Coturnix japonica: one gene and its partner. The protein of the gene in region 1 purifies or fractionates together with the protein of each later gene. This does not show direct contact. Links are inferred from orthologs where the notes say so. Each region holds a gene or a part of one and is shown on either strand. Other genes may lie near its edges.

Evidence for each region. The genes of interacting proteins can lie anywhere in the genome.
Region 2: the proteins of BCCIP (region 1) and EIF6 purify together in Homo sapiens (affinity purification with mass spectrometry; 3 studies listed by BioGRID and IntAct, counting the BioPlex papers as one, with this or other methods). This does not show direct contact. The link is inferred for Coturnix japonica from reciprocal best matches to the Homo sapiens genes BCCIP and EIF6.

Annotation. Positions count from the first base shown.
Region 1 is NC_029521.1:28,918,597-28,922,689, forward strand, and holds the start of BCCIP (BRCA2 and CDKN1A-interacting protein), read left to right. Parts: upstream 1-1,289; 5' UTR 1,290-1,323; coding exon 1,324-1,440; intron 1,441-1,651; coding exon 1,652-1,726; intron 1,727-1,840; coding exon 1,841-1,921; intron 1,922-2,459; coding exon 2,460-2,555; intron 2,556-3,064; coding exon 3,065-3,252; intron 3,253-3,695; coding exon 3,696-3,870; intron 3,871-4,093. UniProt on the Homo sapiens protein: During interphase, required for microtubule organizing and anchoring activities. During mitosis, required for the organization and stabilization of the spindle pole.
Region 2 is NC_029535.1:1,201,139-1,205,420, forward strand, and holds the start of EIF6 (eukaryotic translation initiation factor 6), read left to right. Parts: upstream 1-1,474; 5' UTR 1,475-1,582; coding exon 1,583-1,689; intron 1,690-1,764; coding exon 1,765-1,850; intron 1,851-3,737; coding exon 3,738-3,913; intron 3,914-4,282. UniProt on the Homo sapiens protein: Binds to the 60S ribosomal subunit and prevents its association with the 40S ribosomal subunit to form the 80S initiation complex in the cytoplasm. Behaves as a stimulatory translation initiation factor downstream insulin/growth factors.

The DNA of each region.
Region 1 (4,093 bases):
CAAGCAGCAAAGGAACATGGATGGCTGTCCAACACAGCACATTACAACAGCAGCTTGCAGCTCAACACGCTTAAGGGGTCAAGAACCCCAACAAGCATCGCCAATGAATCATTAAGAGAAAGCACACAAGACATGGCAGCTTCAGTAACAGCGATTACAGTGCGTATCTCCAATTCCCCACTCCCTCCCATCTGAAAAGCTGCCTCCAAACTAATTGCAAACTATTTCTATGAGAGAGGATGGCTTCCAGAAAGAAAGAAATGTGTCCTGCTGTTTCTGCTTCTGAGTGACACTGAGAGCTGCAAAATACATCAAGCTTTAATATAACTCCAGCTCCTCTTTTATTGTAAGAAACTGCATAGGTCGCACAGCAAGGATTGATTGCCAAGCGTAACGGGAATGTCATAAACTGAAATGGAAGTGAATTACAAAACACTGCTGACATATGCTCTGAAAACAACCCTTTTCTGATGTTATGTATTTTTTACCACTATTCTTTCCTAGCAAATAGCTGAGTTCAATAACCAGAGAAGGAAAGAAAGATTACCTGTGAGATAACATTGTATATACACCATTAAACACAAGCAACTTTTCTGAATAATAATTCCTGCCATTCAGGTGTCTACATCCCAAAACCCAACCCTGACCTGGCAATCCCCTGGGACTGCAGGACTCAGACCTCTTATAGAATCATTCAGGCTGAAAATGACCACTCAGATCCCCCAGCACAACTTGAACTAATCCAACCAAACTGACCTGACCCAACCCAACCCAACCCAACCTGATCCAATCCAACCCAACCTGATCCAATCCAATCCAACCAACCCAATGTGACTCAATCCAAATGACCCAACCTGAATCCAACCCAACATGAATCCAACCCAACATGAATCCAACCCAACTCAACCAACCCAACCCAACCAACCCAATGTGATCCAACCCCACCAGCCTGACCCAACCAACCCAACCTGAATCAACCCAACATGACCCAGCCCAACTTGTCCCAATCCAACCCAACTTGCCCCTCCAAGGTAAGGCAGCCCCCATCCATGTAGCACACACACAGCTGACATCCCCCTGTGCACACACTGCAGCATGGCTCAGGCCCCTCCTAGCGACTTTATTAGCACTCGTCCCCGTCATTAACGACACACAGGGCCTTACATGAAACACGGTGCGACTGAGGCTCACCCATTAATAGCACTTATGGGCTTTGATCTCCCCCTCTCACCTGCCCCGCTCCGCTCCCGGCCGCCCCGGCCCGGCTCCTCCCCTCCCTCCGCTCTCCCTTCCGTGTCCGCCTCGCATGCGCACAGCGCCAATATGGCCACGCCGGCCAAGCGCAGGGCAAGGCCTGCAGCCCCGGAACGGGACTCGGGATCGGATTCGGAGCCGGAATCGGGAGATTCGGAGTCCGAGGAGGACGAGCAGGTGGACGAGGTGAGCAGGGGGATGGACGGGGTGAGCAGGGGGACGGGGTGAGCAGGGGGATGGACGGGGTGAGCAGGGGGTTCCGTTTGGCCGGTAGGAGAAGTTACCCTACTAAAATGGGGGTGGGGACAGGCTGATGGTAGCAAACCTTATCGTCTCTTAAAGCCCCGGCTCCGTTTTCCTGCTCGCCAAATCCGCTTAATTTTCCCTATTTTTGTAGGAAGTGAATGTTGAATTTGAAGCGCATTCAATATCAGACAGTGACTACAACGGGATAAAGAAGCTGCTGCAGCAGGTACTGTGCATCATGTCAGCAGGGATGATGCTTATGTGGATAAACAGCTGCAAGGAGGCAGCAGCTCACATTGTCCGTACTGCATCTAAACCAGCCTTGCTTTTTGTTTTCCAGCTGTTTCTAAAAGCTCCCGTTAACACCGCGGAGTTAACCGATATATTGATACAACAGAATCATATTGGAAGTATCATCAAGGTAAGGCAGAAGTGGCTGTTGTAAATTAAGTACAACGTTGCTTGCTTTGAAATGCAGCATTGCATTTCTGGAAGTGAGTCGTGTCTTCAGTGCTGTTTGTAACTTGCTTGACTTTGTTTGGGGATTAATTCTCCTGTTGGACCTGATATTTTCCATGCCAAACAGTGAAACTGGTTTATTGTTATGTGCAATTTATAGAGTCATAGACTCACAGAATGGCCTGGGCTGCAGAGGCCCACAGTGATCATTCAATTCCAACCCCCTGCTGTGTGCAGGGTCACCAACCAGCAGCCCAGGCTGCCCAGAGCCACATCCAGCCTGGCCTTGAATGCCTGCAGGGATGGGGCATCCACAGCCTCCAGTTTCCTCTTGTGGGCTTTAGAAAGGACCCTGGAATGGGTCCTGAGTTTTTCTGCCCAGCATTAATATGATTCTTAGGTAACAAATGTATCTTCTGGAAAGCAAACAAACATATTCCAGTGCAAGGAGTGGAAATAGAATGTCAGTGTGAATTATTTCTCTTTCTTTCATCAAACAGCAAGCAGAAGTACAAGAAGACAGCAGTGATGATGATGATGTTGATGATGATGAAGTCTTTGGTTTTATAAGCTTCCTAAACTTAACTGAAAGGAAGGTTGGTATTCCTGTTTAACTTCTGGGCTGATGTAAGTGTGGCTGTGTTCTGCTTTTCTGCTTGGAACAGCATGTTGTGATAGTTGGATGAGGATTCTGAATCCTGCTGTGGAGGATTATGGGCTTGGAAGTTCTGCATCACTTCGGTTTCTTTTGGATCTAGTCCTGCATAACTTGCTGAAGGTCAGAGAATTGAAACAGAGAATTAAGACTGATCTGACCAGTATTTCCAGGGCGGCTGAGCTGCCTACTCTTCCATTTCTTTACTTCCATCTTGAGCAGCTGTTGAGTTTTGCTATTAAATGTTGTGGTGTCGTAGCTCCTCACTGCGCTCCTGTCAGTAAAGAATTTTTGGTTTCACTCTTCTTCAGGGTTGCGGAATTGTGCATTGCTTCAGGAACCACTAAAGGAGTCTGTCTATAGGACTGTTGGATCCTCCCTTGAAGCTGGTGATTTTCTTGTGTAAACAGTTGTTGTGTAACATAAAGAATGTGTGCCTTTCGATTCTAGGGTACACAATGTGCTGAACAAATCAAAGAGCTGATTCTAAGTCGGTGTGAGCAAAACTGTGAACAGCGCGTGGTTGAACAACTGGATGAGCTCCTGAAGGATGATACTAAGCCTGTGGGTTTGCTGCTGAGTGAGAGGTTCATTAATGTACCACCACAGATTGCTTTGCCCATGCACCAGCAGCTTCAGTAAGTGGTTTTCGCTGTGTTTTATTTCATGTTTTATTTCGTGATTAACATGAAGATGATCAATACTTCATATCTCTTGTATAGTACTGTGGTAAGAGAACTGATGCTCTCAGTAAGACGTAAAAACAAAAAGATGATTTTCATCTGTAAGGTCTATGGTTTCACTTAGTTTTTTAAACACCCTTGGGCTTTCAAACTGTGCTCTTACAAATAATGTGCTGTAATACTGTCTTAGCTACTTCCTTAGAGAAAACCAGCTATGTTATAGTTCAACTTTGTATTACAGTCTGTTTTTACTTTCAGCTGGGAGAAGTTAAGGGACTTAAGGGTGTAGTACAAATGGACTTTCTAAACTAACACACTGTGGGATTTACACTTGCTGAGGCTTTTAATTATGGACACTCATGATTAAATGGTACACCTGAATATTTATTTATCTTCAGGAAAGAATTAAAGGAGGCGCAGAGAACAAACAAACCTTGTGGGAAGTGTCACTATTACCTTCTTATCAGCAAAACCTTTACAGAAGCCACAAAGAATTCTAAGAGGAAAGAAGGGAGAAATCAGCAGAAGGAGGAATTAATGTTTGCAAATGCAGAGGAGGAATTCTTTTATGAGGTAACGTACACAATTCTATTACTTTAAAATGTTGATTTTTTCATTGCAACACTTGCAAAAAAGGTGTTTCACCTAAACTTCCAAGGTTACTTCCAAAAATACCACAAAATGAGGTGCTGTTTCAAAACGAATCAGAGGGGCACTGGTTTCTCCTTTTGCTTTTTATTCTGATGCCATTAAGCTGTAACAATGGCGATCATTTTAGTATTTAATGTGAATTTTA
Region 2 (4,282 bases), on another chromosome or scaffold:
ATGTTAGAAATAAAGGCGCTGTTCTGCTGCAAACAGCCGTGTTGGGTCCCTGCTGCGTGGGGGGCAGCGCGAGCTCAGACAGGGCCTCGAGCCGTGCCGTGCAGTGCTGTGCTGTGCTGTGCTGTGCTGTGCCGTGCCGGGCCGTGCTGTGCCGTGCAGTGCTGTGCCGTGCAGTGCTGTGCTGTGCTGTGCTGTGCCGTGCTGTGCCGTGCTGTGCTGTGCTGTGCTGTGCTGTGCCGTGCCGTGCTGTGCTGTGCCGTGCTGTGCCGTGCTGTGCTGTGCTGTGCTGTGCCGTGCCGTGCTGTGCTGTGCAGTGCTGTGCCGTGCAGTGCTGTGCCGTGCTGTGCCGTGCTGTGCTGTGCTGTGCCGTGCAGTGCTGTGCTGTGCCGTGCTGTGCTGTGCAGTGCTGTGCTGTACCGTGCTGTGCCGTGCTGTGCTGTGCAGTGCTGTGCCGTGCAGTGCTGTGCTGTGCAGTGCTGTGCTGTGCTGTGCAGTGCTGTGCCGTGCTGTGCTGTGCCGTGCAGTGCTGTGCCGTGCCGTGCAGTGCCGTGCCGTGCCGTGCCGTGCCGTGCAGTGCCGTGCTGTACCGTGCTGTGCTGTACCGTGCTGTGCAGTGCTGTGCCGTGCTGTGCAGTGCTGTGCCGTGCAGTGCTGTGCTGTGCTGTGCTGTGCAGTGCTGTGCTGTACCGTGCTGTGCTGTGCTGTACCGTGCTGTGCTGTACCGTGCTGTGCAGTGCTGTGCCGTGCTGTGCAGTGCTGTGCCGTGCAGTGCTGTGCTGTACCGTGCTGTGCTGTACCGTGCTGTGCAGTGCTGTGCAGTGCTGTGCTGTGCTGTGTCGTGCAGTGCTGTGCTGTACCGTGCTGTGCTGTGCTGTGCTGTGCTGTACCGTGCTGTGCTGTACCGTGCTGTGCTGTACCGTGCTGTGCTGTGCCGTGCTGTGCTGTACCGTGCTGTGCTGTGCTGTGCTGTGCTGTACCGTGCTGTGCTGTGCTGTGCTGTGCTGTGCCGTGCTGTGCTGTACCGTGCTGTGCTGTGCTGTGCTGTGCAGTGCCGTGCTGTGCCGTGCTGTGCCGTGCCGTGCCGTGCCGTGCTGTGCAGTGCTGTGCCGTGCAGTGCTGTGCCGTGCCGTGCTGTGCCGTGCCGTGCCGTGCTGTACCGTGCCGTGCTGTGCTGTACCGTGCCGTGCCGTGCCGCACCACGAAGACACTGGCGGCGGCTGCCCATGGGCGGCACTGCGGCTACGGCTGGAACGGCAGGTCGGTGGGCTGCAGGCGGGGCTGGGAGCAGCACACGGAGCAGCACACGGAGCAGCACACGGAGCAGCACACGGAGCAGCACACGGCAGCTGACCCTGCACGCTGCACGTTTTCCTGCAGCCGCTCCCGTCCATCCGGGCGGCGGGGCAGCAGCAACTCCCGTCCCGCAGGGGGCGCTGTTCCTCCTGGCGCTCCCGGGGCCGCTCTGTCCCGCTCCTTCCGCCGTCAGAAGCGGAAGCGGCCTCGCCGCGTGGGGTTGGCCGCGGCCGCCGCTCCCGGTCGTGCATCTGTCCGTCGGTCCGTCGGTCCGTGCCTGCTCGCAGCCATGGCCGTCCGCGCCAGCTTCGAGAACAACAACGAGCTGGGCTGCTTCGCCAAGCTGACCAACGCCTACTGCCTGGTGGCCATCGGCGGCTCCGAGAACTTCTACAGGTGAGAAGCCACGAGGGCCCGGCCCAGCCCGGCCCGCTCCCTGTGCCCGCTCCTAACGGCGCCTTGTTGTTGCAGCGTGTTCGAGGGGGAGCTGTTCGGGACCGTCCCGGTGGTGCACGCCTCCATCGCCGGCTGCCGCATCATCGGCAGGATGTGTGTGGGTGAGTATGTGAGTGTGTGTGGGTGAGTGTGTGTGTGTGAGAGTGTGTGTGTGTGAGAGTGTGTGTGTGTGTGTGTGTGTGTGTGTGTGTGTGTGTGTTTGTGGGTGAGCGGCCGGGAGGAGCGGAGGGACGGCGGGGCCGTGCCCGCCCCGAGAGACCCGCAGTGCGGTGCGGAGCGCGGGGAGACGGCGGCGCTCCTCGTCCTCGGGGGGTTTATTTGGTCGCACCGTAGGGATGTTGTAACGCTGGAGAAGATTGTAGAATCCTTAGAGTTGGAAGGGACCTCTGGAGGCCATCGAGGCCAGCTCCCCTGCAATGAACGGGGACGCTACAGCTTGATCAGCTACCCCAGGGCCTTATCCAACCTCGCCTTGGAAGTCTCCAGGGTTGGGCCATAAAACACATCCCTCAGTAACCTCAGCTCTTCCTGTGCCTCACCACCATCGCTGGCAATGATTTTTAAGGCTCTTCTGTACTGTTCTGGATACAGTACTCCAGGTGAGGCCTCAGTGCAGAGCAGAGGGGCAGGATCACCTCCCATACTCTCCTGACCTTGCATCTTTTGATGCAGCACAGGATACATGTGGCTTTCTGGGCTGTGCGGGCAGTTTCCAGCTGTCACAGTTTTGTGCCCACCAGCTTCCAATCCCCCAGTGCCCCCAAGTCTTTCTTGGCAGGGCTGCACTCAGTCCTTTCATCCCCCAGCTTGTATTGGTAACAGAGGTTGCCTCAACCCAGGTGCCAGATCACACACTTGGGTTTGTTGAACTTCAAGAGATTCACCTGGGTGCATTGCTCAGCCCGTGCAGGTCCCTCTGGATGACATTCCATCTTGAGCATGTTGCCCCCACCCTGCAGCTTGATGTCGTCAGCCAACTTGCTGAGGGTTCACTCGACTCCACTGTCAGTGTCACTGATGAAGATACTAAAGAGTATCAGTCCCAGCACTGACCCCTGGGGGACACCACTCATCACTGAACTCCATCCAGGCCATGAGTCATTGACCTCTGCTCTTTGGACTTGATCCCACAGTCAGTTCTTTGTCCGTTGAGGAGTCCACCCATCAAATCTGTATATTTCCAATTTGGAGAGAAGGATGTTGTGGGCACTGTGTCAAAGGCCTCACTGAAGTTCAGATAGATGACATCAGTGGCTCTTCCCTCATCCACTGATGTAGTGAAATAAAATAAAAATCAAGCCTGGCCAATAGAAACAAACGAAACCCAACAATAAAACAGCCACCAAAAATAGGGTTAGAGGGAGTGCCTGCTGGTCAGGACTTGAAGAGAGGTCAGTGATGTGCATAAATTGGTTTTTGTAGTAAGCAGGGAGAAGCCGCTCTGTTTCACTGGGAGGTCAGTGATTCAGAAACATTGCTGGAGGGAGCATTCCAGATGTGAAGGGCAAAGAGAGGTCTTTCACTGCCTGGCTGTTTAGTAGAGCACACTTGGTGCTTGCTGTTTGTTCCTGGGCAGCCTGTTCACACAGTCTTACAGCCTTGCTAAAGGAAAGGAACAAAAGCGAGCACAACATGTAGGCTTTATGGGGATGGTCAGTGTCTCTTGGGGGGAAAGCATACCAAAGTGTTTTGTTTAGAACCTTGTGTGTCCCATTGAAAAGGCTGGATAAAAGTAGTGCAGTTTACCTGTTTATATTCTGAAGTCTTTGTTTCATCTTCGTTTTCCCCCTCACCTTTGCTTTTGTATTAATAAATGGTCACGTTATTTCTGTGGGACTGAATTTAGGGCTTGAAAAGAGTGGATAGGGGCCCCACACCATTGTGTGAGCATCATAGTGAGCACGATGGAAATATTTGCTTTTTTAGAATTACCCAAAGGTGGAACTCTTTGTTTTCTTTCTCCTTGTCTTGTTTTTGGGTCATCTTAGGGAATAGGCACGGACTGTTGGTCCCGAGCAGTACAACAGACCAAGAGCTTCAGCACATCCGTAACAGCCTTCCAGATTCTGTGCGAATTCAGCGAGTGGAGGAGCGGCTCTCGGCGCTGGGCAATGTCACTACCTGCAATGACTACGTAGCTCTCGTTCATCCGGATCTGGACAGGGTATGTGGCTTCTGAATTCAGTGTGGATGCATCTGATATTATTCCTAAGTTGCAGTTTCAGCTTGTAGCTATTGGGGATTACTGTAAGTAGTGTCAATGTAGGAGAACTATACTGACAGCTGAGCTAGCATCACGTAGGAAGCCGTGTTCCCTGTTTCCTTTCCTCTCAGGAGAGAAATTACAGTACTAGATTTTGAACTTATGACTCAGTTTCAGTCGATCTGTTTCTTTTCCTATTGTTATCTTTACTTGTAGGTGTGGATCCTGTCCTAGGTACATAGTGTGCATTCTGCATCCAGCATGCTGTAGTTAACTGTGCTTATAGAAAGAAAGGAGTGGGATATGGAAGAGTACTGTGAGATGCAATTA